Linked DNA regions of Ovis aries. The protein of the gene in region 1 purifies or fractionates together with the protein of each later gene. This does not show direct contact. Links are inferred from orthologs where the notes say so. Each region holds a gene or a part of one and is shown on either strand. Other genes may lie near its edges. The genes, in order: FBXO45, FBXW7 and MYCBP2.

What was found.
Region 2: the proteins of FBXO45 (region 1) and FBXW7 purify together in Homo sapiens (affinity purification with mass spectrometry; 4 studies listed by BioGRID and IntAct, counting the BioPlex papers as one, with this or other methods). This does not show direct contact. The link is inferred for Ovis aries from reciprocal best matches to the Homo sapiens genes FBXO45 and FBXW7.
Region 3: the proteins of FBXO45 (region 1) and MYCBP2 purify together in Homo sapiens (affinity purification with western blotting; 7 studies listed by BioGRID and IntAct, with this or other methods). This does not show direct contact. The link is inferred for Ovis aries from reciprocal best matches to the Homo sapiens genes FBXO45 and MYCBP2.

Annotation. Positions count from the first base shown.
Region 1 is NC_056054.1:191,912,607-191,916,764, forward strand, and holds the start of FBXO45 (F-box/SPRY domain-containing protein 1), read left to right. Parts: upstream 1-1,283; 5' UTR 1,284-1,435; coding exon 1,436-1,738; intron 1,739-4,158. UniProt on the Homo sapiens protein: Component of E3 ubiquitin ligase complex consisting of FBXO45, MYCBP2 and SKP1. Functions in substrate recognition but also plays an important role in assembly of the complex.
Region 2 is NC_056070.1:5,397,684-5,401,999, reverse strand, and holds the start of FBXW7 (F-box/WD repeat-containing protein 7), read right to left. Parts: upstream 2,930-4,316; 5' UTR 2,298-2,929; intron 1-2,297. UniProt on the Homo sapiens protein: Substrate recognition component of a SCF (SKP1-CUL1-F-box protein) E3 ubiquitin-protein ligase complex which mediates the ubiquitination and subsequent proteasomal degradation of target proteins.
Region 3 is NC_056063.1:52,794,714-52,798,362, reverse strand, and holds part of MYCBP2 (E3 ubiquitin-protein ligase MYCBP2), read left to right. Parts: intron 1-461; coding exon 462-619; intron 620-1,623; coding exon 1,624-1,823; intron 1,824-2,839; coding exon 2,840-2,989; intron 2,990-3,649. UniProt on the Homo sapiens protein: Atypical E3 ubiquitin-protein ligase which specifically mediates ubiquitination of threonine and serine residues on target proteins, instead of ubiquitinating lysine residues.

The DNA.
Region 1 (4,158 bases):
TTGAAGGGCTGTGGCACTGACACTAATAAGAAAGAAAAGAATCTGGGCGACTAAGCTTGGAGGAAAAAACATCTAGGAAGAAGGGACTGGCAAGTAGTAATCAAACACCACTTACCAGAGAGTAGAGATGGTAGGTGCTGTTCTTTTGTTTTTACTAGAAAACAAGAAATGGATTATTCACAGCAGGAGAGCTTTCGAAAAGATTCCTTACTACATAAAGGAAAGACTGGAATTAACTGGTGGAATTAACTACTAAGGGAATCTGTGAACCCTATTATTTTAACAATTACTTCGCAGTGTTGCTTTGAGAGTTATATAAACTCTCCCGTAAAGGGCCCCAGTAGATTGCCTGTCTTACATGATGGTTATTATTTTCTCTTACCGAGCATTCTTTAAAGGCTGTCGGAAAACGTTCTGGCCACCTAGGAAAACTAGTATGACTAAATAATGCTGAAATTATTTCCCTTCCAAATAGTGTTCTTAATTATAGCCTCCATGTCATTCTCCCTACTAGAATGACTAGTTAAAAACACACCTCAATTCGCCTACTAACCGGTGGGTTAGTAGGAAAGACTGGGAAAGGCCATATTTTGTCCAAAATAATGTAGCCCTTAAAGAGCGCTTTAAGGTTACCCAAACATGGGAGGGGGGCGGCAGGTGTTCAAATGTAGCGACCTCTCACGCTACATACAGGACTAAGGGAGAACAAGAGGGCCTGACCAGGAAAACACGACCTCAGCTGCCGAAGGAAAAGGAAGATCTAACTCAAACTCAAGGTGGCGGAGCTAGGACTGGCTAGTAAGGAGAGGGAAGTTTCCTGTGTTAGGGTGGAATGGTCCAACAGGAACGCAAATGACTCAGGTAAACCTTATAGGAAAAGGGGACCAAAAAAGCCGACGCGAGGCCACTAGATCAAAAAGGGGAAAAGACGGAGAACAGCCCGAAACCCACCCGCGCCAACCTCATACCTGCGCTTCCCGCTTCCCACCGAGGCGCCTGGCGATGACCTCACCGACGGGCGCCCAATCCCATCTAGCGTAGGGCGGGAGGCGCCGCAGCCAAATAGTCACATCCGGGGCCGAGAGGAACCGCGCGAGCTGGGCGTGCGTCCTTGCTTCGTGCCCTCAACCCGCATGGCGGAGCCACGGGCGCGCCGCGGGGAGGCCGTACTAGTCGGGCGGTTCCGGCGACCGCGCTGAGCCGCGGGGGAGGGGCGGGGGACGCCCGTGCAGTCGGTGCGTCTGCCCTCAGTGAGGCGGGGCGCGCGGCGGACGCCCCCGGGCAGGGGCGGGAGTGGTTTGGAGGGGCCGGGCGGTTAGCTGTGAAAGGGGCGGTGAGCGAGCTGCTCCGGTCTCAAGGCGAGGCTTGGCCTCTGGAGCAGAGACGGGGGGAAGCGGCGGCGGCGGCGGCGGCCCTCGGGCCGGCTGGTGAGGCGATGGCGGCGCCGGCCCCGGGGGCTGGGGCAGCTTCGGGCGGCGCTGGCTGTAGTGGCGGCGGCGCGGGCGCCGGCTCGGGCTCTGGGGCCGGGGGCCGGTTGCCCAGCCGGGTGCTGGAGTTGGTGTTCTCCTACCTGGAGCTGTCCGAGCTGCGGAGCTGCGCCCTGGTGTGCAAGCACTGGTACCGCTGCCTGCACGGCGATGAGAACAGCGAGGTGTGGCGGAGCCTGTGCGCCCGCAGCCTGGCAGAGGAGGCTCTGCGCACGGACATCCTCTGCAACCTGCCCAGCTACAAGGCCAAGGTGAGGGAGCCCCGCGCCACGCCGCTGCCCCCTGTCCCGCTTCTCCGCGCAGCTCTCAGTGTTTCTCAGCTAAGCTTCTGAGTCAGAAGCGCTTTCCCACCGCTCCAGTCAGTACCTTACCTCGCCTCCCCCGCCATAAAGATCTCTTTGGGTTGAAGTTCTGCTCCTTAACCCACCCCACTTCCGTGATGTACTTTTTAAAGGATCAGATGGTTTTCCATCCTTGATTTCCATCATTCATTCTACTTTCCACCGTCTGTTCCCTTAAAAACAGGCCATTGTTTTAGCTTTCAATACTCTAATCCTGTTTTTCTCTCTGTCCTTTATTAGATCATCTCGGCTGCCTTATTGACTTAGTTTCTAAGATTTTTGCTTTCAGCTCACGTTTTCCAAGCTCTGATTTATAACTGTTTTATTTTTGCCCAAGTACCTTAAATTCCCTCCGCTATGTTACAGGCTTATAAATAAGTGTGGTCCAAGGCATCTGCTAACTTTAAAGATAAAGGCTTTGAATAGAACATCGTACCATTGGCGCCACTTAACAGTCGTAATATTGCCATGTCCCACTATTACTGGCTATTGCCTTGCCAACTTTTTCATAGTTCCACCTTGCTGGTGTGTCTCTTATGTTCTGTTTGTCATCCAACATGCCGTTTCCATTTTTGGTGCCTTCCCCCCCCCCCCCCCGCCCTCTGCCAGACTCTTGTGCTTAGTCTTGCTTTCATATACAAATAAAAATGTCAAGTAACAGATCTTAGTAGGACTGAGAGCATTCCTCAAGCAATATAAACAAATGGCTGTAAACTTGAGTTCAGTTTGGATGGATACAGCTATTTAGGATTGCAGTCACCAAGAGTATACATGAGAGAGGATAAAGTCTGATCTAGAATATGGTAAACATAAAAATACATTAACAACTAAAAAAGGGAAAACATATCTTTTTAATGCTAGACTGCCAGTGGGGCCAGAGTAAGTAAATTTTCATGGAAAAAATTTTTTCCATGTGAAATAAATGTAAAAGTGGTCTTCTGTAGTAAAATAGGTTTCAGTTTAGTAAGGTTAGGATAAGGATTACTACTTTTAAATATGTCAAATTGTTTATTAAGTGAAATAACATGTTGAGTTGCAAGGACAGTTAGTAGATGCTCGATGGATAATAATTGTAATTCATATTAGTAGAGGGCAGAAGATTGTTTTGTCTTACTGTGCCTAATAAACATATAGGTTTCATGAATCTTATTTAGTTTTTATTTTTCCATAAAGTTTATTATTTTTACTTATTTTAAATTAAGACATTTTTGTAGTTGGCCTGTAATAGACATGTTCACATGATTCAAGATTCATGTAGTAATATGTAATAAATAATGTATTCATGTGAGTCAGTGTTGAAGCAAAGTGATCTAAAAGCAAAATGTCTTCCTTTAGTCCTTATACCCCCACCATCCAGATTGGAGGCAGCCTATGTTACCTGTTTTTCTGTATCCTTGCAGAGGCTTATAAATTTTAATACTTTGTATGCCTTTGTACTACTGGAACTGTAGGTATTATAGACTTGTGCATTCAGATGTTGCAGGACTTTTCTTGAATATCTTGAAGATAAAAGATTAATTCAAAAGGATATACATAGCCTAGTAGGAAAGTCCTCAGTCTAGGAGAAGAGGAAAAAACAATGTATAGAAATAACTAGTGGTTATTAGTTAGAAACTAGAATTTTAGTGAAAGAGATTCACAAGTTGAGTGAACAGCTTTAGAAGGGTTGAGATTGAGATTGTATTTGAGCTGAATTTTTAAAATGGGGAGAATATGAACATTTTACTAAGAGGAAATACCCTGAACAAAAAGCAAGACAGTGGAAGGCAGAGGATTTGAATAGTATATATTTTTATTAAAAAAAAAGATGAATGTTAGGTACTATGCTCAGTTTTGCAGATGCAATGCTGAATAAAAACAAATACAAATGCTTATGGATGCTTTGTGATTTGTGATGAGTCCTATGAAGGTTAGATCCATGGTGCTCTGAATGTTAATAGTGGAGAATTTGACCTAAGTAGTGAGGTCAGGAAAGGCTTTCTCTGAGAAAATAACACTGAGACCCAGGAAAAAAAAAAAAAAAAGGATAAATAGGCCAGAGAAAGAGAGAAGAGCCTTCCAGGAGGGAACCTGGTGAGTATGAGTGACAGAAGATAATCAGTGTGGCTGGACCACAGAGAGCAAAATTGAGGCAAGTTTGATAAAGATGAAGAGGTGGACTGGAGCCAAGCAAAAGGAAGCCATTTTAAATTGTAAGTGAAGGACAGTTAGGAGTATGGGGGTTGGTGATGTGATAGTTTTACATTTTTAGGAGGTTATTGTGACTTAAGAATGGACAACCAATTGGAGGGGAACCTTCGAAATATGTATGGTAGTAAGTATGTAGAACA
Region 2 (4,316 bases), on another chromosome or scaffold:
ATAACATTACCTTTGATAGGATAAGGAAGACTGGCAGCTCTAGAAATGAATCCCAAATTTGTTCTTTTAAAAACGAGGGTAATTATCTAGAATATTGAATTTCGAGAAGATAAAAGTGTCCCTCTCCTCATGCTCCCCCGCCATCAAAAAAACATGAAAAACATTAATATCACCTAAAACCTGCTTAAGAAATTTCATCCTTCCTCCTAACTTCAACTTGCTTCCAGGTCAAGTATTATAATACCTCACACTGGAATGAGTACATTGATTTCTTTTTAGTGGACATTTTAGAAGCATGCTTAAGGAACCTTAAAAATGTTCGAGTATAAACTGATTAAAGTCATCAAGTAGATCAGTGACAGGAGTCTGATTAAATCCAAGTCTTTTAATGGTTGATCTAGAGCTCTAATAAAAGGCAGTTCCACTAGGGTTAGAACCTCACCAACTGAATTACCTATTTATTTCACATGAAATACTGCTGAATTACAAAGCACACTTCTCTCCTATCTGTTATCACCAATCTTCTAAAAAAGTAGTCAACACTTTCGGTATTGACTTCCTTCCCTCCTATTTAAATGTACACCACTTCAGTGAAACTTATATCAATGACTGATTTGTTGGTAATCTACCATTCAACATTTCAATATATATGAAATTTCAACATTATCTTTGATGAAATCTCATATGATATTCACACCCTTATCCTCATGTTATCAGTGTTCATAGAGGTTTTGGGGGGGAGGGGGCAGGGGGCAATAAACTTGTTACCATTGAATAATAAAAGATTATAAACTCTAGTGTTTAAATTATATTACCATCTTCTATAATTAAACTTTTAAGTATCTGGACTTAGGAAAAGTGCAGAGTGATACTGGAAATATTTTCATCTTTCAAGGGCAAGTATTTAAGTACATTACAAAGAAAAGCTGCCTTCCCAGGGAGGTCTGACTATAATATACAATGGCAATTTTATGCTCAATTTCTTCTATAGCAAATTACTAACACTGATTAATTAATGTAAATGTTTTAGATGTGGTTGAAAGAAATAGCATCTCTATCATGGCAAAAACAAATACATGGTTAAATAATGTAAATTAGGGAAGGAAAGAGAATTCAGCACTTTTATATATCAAGTTCTGTACAAAATACTTCATATGTTAGATAGTTAAACAAGTAGAGGAGTTGGTGAGGAATGTAGAGAGGGGAGATAATTTTCCTTCCTCATGTAAAGCCCTAAGCAGAACTTTAAAGTCGTCAAAATCTTAGGCACCAGTTTCTGAAAGTCTTTTACAGAACACTAGTTCTATTTTAAGCTTTAGTCTTATACTTCTATATTTATAATCAATTGTTTTAAAATGCATAAAAGATGAAAATAAAGATTATTAAACTATAATCACTGAAAATTCATAATCGTGGATAACAGGTTTTTAAATACTTATATTCTTAAACACTACTTTAAAATAGCGTCTATGTTTCCATCAACATTCCTTAGAATTGGTCCAACTCGATTTTCTAAATGTTGTTACATCTATGAGAACACTAAGAAAGCAGAAGACCAGAAAAGAATAGACAGCTCTAACAAACCCCCAGTACAAGGACTCACCACAATGCCAGTATCACAATTATAGCTAGAGTTTGAAGCTGGTGAAATGTACATATGTGAAGAATATTCTGTTTCACTTAGATGACACAGGTTAACATAAATTGTTATAGTTTAGAGATGTGTTCTCACGATCAACACCAAAGTATGTTGATACATATGTTGACGCTCAACTAGGAGTAGGGAGCAGAGATTATATTTCATCATATTCAAGGCTACTTTTGATGAATTGATGGATGAAATAACACCTAATCTCTAACATTTCATGGGGGCACTCAAACTAAGTATAAAATTTACTGAGCTCACCCAAAACTTAAAGCACAGGAAAGAAAAAAGAAAAATTCACTATTCATTTTTAAAAAGACATGCTGCTGCTTTAAGTGGCCAGCAGTCTCCCAGCAACTCCGGGCTGCAATCACAACATCCATTAGAGAGCTCTACTGCTCAGAGCGAGCAAGCAAGTGGTTGTCAGTGCAGCTAGTAAATCACCTGATCCTATTACAAAATCAATTACTGCAGTGCATTTCCATTGCTACACAATCTGATGATGACAAAATGATATTGGATAGCTACTGCAAGGTCAAGAAAACTGCGAAGAACATCTTTAATTGATCTTTTATTTTTAATTATTTGGTCCTAGTTATAAGGCATCAATTTTAATTGCATATTTTTATTTGAAATAAATCTATGTAGTTACCTTTGGTTGTCTAGGACATTCGGTGGATAATCTCTGCAACTGGTCTGATGTATGGCTACCAGAGAACAGATCGGAGCAGCAGGTCGAACGGCTCAACCTCTTCATTAAGGAAGAAACAACGCTGCAGCCACAGCCACACATTGACTTGTTCATCAGACAAGAATTTAACTTAAAAATTCAGAACTAGTAATGTCCCATGTATACTCAAAACTGGCTAACTGCCTCATTCTGCAGCCCTCAGGCTGAAAGAAACACTGTTAAAAAAAAAGAATAAAACAATAGCTTCCCTACAGAAGATACCAGCCACAAACTCATTGTCAAGAAGAACTCAATATTAAAAACAGAAGTCTCCCGGCTACTCCTTAGAAAGAAGGTAAGGTGCTTTAATATTTCAAACTATTTTATATTAAAGCCCAAGTACTTAATAAAGGAGCAAACTCAAGATAAAATATCCCCAAATTATACTAACCACTCTTTCTGTCTTCCATCAGTTTAGATCTGTTTGCCTACTCCTCCGGCTCAGCCTATCCAACCTGTTCCCTCTGTAAATGCCCACTGTCTCAACAACCAACAGGAATGAGCCCCACCCTTGCTTGTCCCCATACACTCAGTTCAAGAACCGCTCAATATCTGGAAAAGAACTGCTGCTGCATTGCTTTGAGAAACAACAGGGAGCAAATTACTGGACGGATTCTTTAACTTACCAATCAGAACTGCTGACCCTTTCTGACTCTACAATTCAGGAAGCCTGCCAAACGCTCAAAGTAAGAATAACAGCTGATTTTACTTCTATATTGTAGATTAATTTATAGGATTGTTTTCAATCTTGTTATTCAATCTAAAAGAAAAAAGACATAGGCATAACTATTTTTTAAACAAAATTTAGACAGTAGCTAATAATAATCTCTGAGTATGGCTTGAAGAGAGCAGGATGGTGGTTGATAGCCAAAGTAAAAAAATTCCTTCTCAATACTGCACTTGAACTTGAGAATTACGGAGCAATAAAATACTATATCAAAGACAGTCGTGTCGATAAGGATAGAGCAACTAAGAAAGAGAATCCAAGGAGGTCCCTGCCATCATAAATGTCAGAAGAGTTAAAATGAGAAGGAAAGGGTGGGTGACTTTATAGACAGGTATTGATAATAGATGATAAGCCACCAAAAACCTGGTTGCTTTGATACTAAATCTTCTCCCACCTGTTTATCTGCATCTCATTAAAAAGATTGAAAAAACACAAACCACCCTGAAAACATAAACACTGTTAAGTATGTTAGCCATCCTCTAGGATTTTTTGCCAATAATATATAAAGATATATATATATATATATACACACATCATGTTATTATAATCCACCTTATAATTTCCAGGAGAAGAGAGGGTTACATTGATAAAAAATTATAGTTTCTTCCCAAACAATTAGACTTCAAAACAAATGTAACTTCATGAACATTCATAGACCCACAATTATCAGTCTTTGTTAACAGCATTCTTTTTGAGGAAGAAGTCTAAGAACTAAAAAAAATATCTTGTATTAAAAATGTATTTTAAAATTGTAAAATGTATTTAAAATTTTTTTAATGTTTTTAAAAAAGCATTAAAAAACTTCCTATTTTCTGTAGGTTCTTTATTTGCGTATGTCTCATGCTCAGTTTCTTTGGTTTAAATCTAAAAAGAGCTAGCATCGCCTCTTCCTTCACCTTGCACTGCCCTTTTGAAATTCATGTAAACTTAAATCAATTTCCAGAATGTCGAAAACCAGGCATGCACTTCACACTGCATCTTTACAAAACCTTTTGTAGATAAAGGCTGTGAAAACAAACAAGCAAATAATGCAGTAACCTTTTACTCGCCTGCTGGAGGTACTGTCTGCTGCACAGAATTTTAAATCCTCATCTGCAGATGCAATTGAGCTGGGATTGCCAAGAACCCTGCTTTTCCCGTGCTGCTGCTACACAGCTATTCATCGAAAGAGCATGTTACATGGAAAATGTGAAGTACTATCAGTTTAAGTTTCT
Region 3 (3,649 bases), on another chromosome or scaffold:
GAGAAACCTCATAGAACATTCAGAACCAGAGGAAAATTATATCCTTTCGTTTTCCCTCTTATTAGGTTTCCTCGTGTATATATTTTCATTGTTCGTATTCGGTGCTGTTATGAAGATATCTGCCTTTTTTTCCTGAATATCATGACATGTGTCTTCCACCAGTGCTTTTGCTTCTGAGAGAAGCTTAGAATATTTGATGCCTTTTCTTCTTTTTCATTTAAAATGCAAAGTAGATTTAAGAGAAGCAAAAGTTTTAAGATGCAGTTCTGAAATCAGTCAAAATGTGATTACATTTGGAAAGATCCAGTTATGGCTTAAAGAGATATTGTCAAGTTGGCTTTGAATTTGTATTCTTCCACATGGTTCACACATTTGACTACGCTGTTAAAAACTAAGTAAATACAGTGTCAACATCATTCCCTTTTTCTCCTGAGTTATCTGTCACCTTGTTCTATCTGCAGTTTGGAAACTAGTCCCATAACTGATACTGATCTCGCAAAGAGAACTGTCTTCCAAAGATCCTACTCCGTTGTTGCTTCTGAATATGATAAACAGCACTCCATCTTACCTGCACGAGTTAAAGCCATTCCTCGAAGAAGAGTTAACAGTGGAGATACTGGTAAGTATAAAGATGAAAAAGAAGATTGAGTGATCCTAATGATTTTATTTGTAGATTTTTTAAATCTAATTTTTGAAGGCAGAGGAATGGATTAATTTTAAATCGTGGTTAAACATTCCTTCTGTGTGACACAGCCATAAATGTGCCTCTCTAAATTTTACATCTTAGTTGGAAGAGACACCCAGACATCATGCACTATTATTCAAGAATAAACGGATCTTTAAAATATACTACTTGTTAGGTATCTAAGCTGAATATTGCTACCATTATCCCTCCCACTAAGCTTCAGTAAATCAGCAGTTCCAGTGACTTGACACTTTCACAATGATATTCTCAATAGAAACTTATTAACTCTTGTAAGTACTATCACTCAAACAGATAATAAAAACTGGAGATACGGCTAGCTCGTAATCAGTGAAAAATTTTAGATAATCTGGACTAATTAGTATTGGCAGCCCCAAATTGAGGCTAATTAATCCTGTCTTAAGAATAAAGAAAGAAATCCAAGAAGCAAAGGATAACATGTTAGTGGTTATCAGGCCAACTACTTATTAAACGAAGATCTGACCTAATATTTTTAGGTAGATGATTATATATCTTGTTGAAGATCTTCTAGGAAAATATTGAGGATATATTCAACAAGTATCTTTGGGCTCTTAATGAAATACCATTTGTTACAAAGCAGTCCTTTAGAAAATGCTGGGGATTCCATTTGGGGAGAAAATAAGTCACATTTTGTATAGTGTTACAGAAAGTGTGAACTTTCAGACCTGGGTTCAAAACTTACCTTTGAAAATTAATAGGTATATAACTTTTAAGTAAGATATTTAAATCTGAGCTTCAGTAAAAAATTGAAATCATTAAGATTTGTGTCAAATGCAAAAACAAAAAAACCCCCAAAGACACTTAAGTGAATAAGCTGGATACTGTTTTTTGAAATCACTTTAAATATATTAATATGTGTTGCCTATGAAAATTGATACTTTTTTTTTTCCTTCAAACAGAAGTGGGTTCTTCGCTCTTGAGGCATCCATCTCCCGAGCTGTCCCGGCTCATCTCAGCCCACAGCTCCCTCTCCAAAGGAGAACGGAACTTCCAGTGGCCAGTCTTAGCCTTTGTTATACAGCATCATGATCTAGAAGGTCTGGAAATAGCAATGAAACAAGCTTTAAGGAAATCTGCTTGTCGAGTTTTTGCTATGGAGGTAAGAATACATGAATAGGATTATTAATTCATTAATCATAAGCTTCATATGATGGTTCTGTTTAATGATGTCAGTTTTCTACTGAACAGAAATTGTGACAAATTAAGAGACCTCAGTGAATAGAAAATACTGTGTTTGCAACAAAATTAAACTCCTAGGTTTAGGAATATAAATGAATTTGAGTTTCATAGTTAAGCACTCTGAAAAACATCATTTCTACATTGCTTTATTATCTGAATCGTGACAATATCTTCTTAAAAAAGCTTTTTATAATCACAGTGTCATTTCAGTTAGAGTAATCATGCAAAAGGGATCCGAAGTAGGGCTTTTGAATTATAAATTTAACGAAGATAATTTATCTGGGTCTCTGTTCTCTGAAAATGGATCACTGTATATCATAGACTTGTATCTATAACAAATCTTTTTTCTTTATCATGGAGTAGAAAGTACTCATGATATTCATCAGTGGGAACCACATGAATCTATATTTAAGTAAGTAGCAGCTTGTGTAGAACTTAAGAAACATTCTAAATGCATGTTGATTCTAAATGCAAGTTGGAAAAAATGTGCTTGTGTAAATTAATATTCAGACAAATTTTTGAAATGAAAAGTAGTTTGGAAAAGTATTTTTGAATTGCATTTCATAGGTATTATATTCCCTACTATTAATTTTTAAATTAGGGCCAGAATTATTGACAGTGTAAGTTCAGTATACTTTCAGTGAAATGACAATCAGTCTTCCTAGAGTCTTCCCATAAAATACTTGAGTCCCAGAAGGTTCTCTTTATCTTGGACTTATTTAACATTGTTTATTCAGGCTTTCAGGCTTCCCTTGTGGCTCAGCTGGTTTAAGATTCCAGCTGTGATGCAGGAGACCTGGGTTGGGAAGATTCCCTGGAGAAGGGAAAGGCTACCCATTCTAATATTCTGGCCTGGAAATTCCATGGACTATATAGTCCATGGGGTCGCAAAGAGTCAGACACGACTGAGCGAGTTTCACTTTCTCTTTCGTGCAGGCTTTCAACTGGCTTCTGTGTAACGTCATCCAGACCACTTCTCTCCATGATGTTCTGTGGCATTTCGTGGCGTCTCTGACTCCTGCTCCAGTGGAACCAGAGGAAGAAGAGGATGAGGAAAACAAAACAAACAAAGAAAATGCAGAACAAGTGAGTGAGACTCTTGGTTTTTTATTTGTCCATATTTTTATAGCAGAGTCGAACTCTCTTCAGGTAATACCATAATTTACATGAGGTCATTCACAGATTATATAACCTAAAGGCAAGAATACCAATTCAGAGCTATGAGCAACATACTAACTATGCTGAATGAAAGTTCTCTGTCTCCAGAAACACTGTCAATCAATTCTGGTTTCTCACTAGCCATCACTGTCACACACAAAGCACTCAGTTGGAAGATATATACTGTACAGTGCAATATAAGATGAAGAAGGCAACATTATTATAGAGAAGGGCCATCTACTTCACAGCATTACTGTAAGGCACAGAGAATGAAAATGAGATTGTGCCTGGACCTGAAAGTCAAAAAGTTTGGCTAGAAGAGACTTTAGTTTTATAGGAGGCAGCCTGTATCATGGAAAAGCGTTGACTGTGGGCCCTGGAAGCCTGGGTTCCAGCCACATTTATACCTCTGTAGCTGTGATTTATGGATCTCATTTATATTTCTACAGTAAAAAAGTAGAAGACTAAATCCTCAATTTAAAAAAGCTGTCAGAATAGATAGAAAAAAACAAAAGCTCGGTACTGTTTATAAGCATTGTACCTTTTAAAACATTACGACAGAGGAAGATTAAAAGTAAAAGGTTAAAA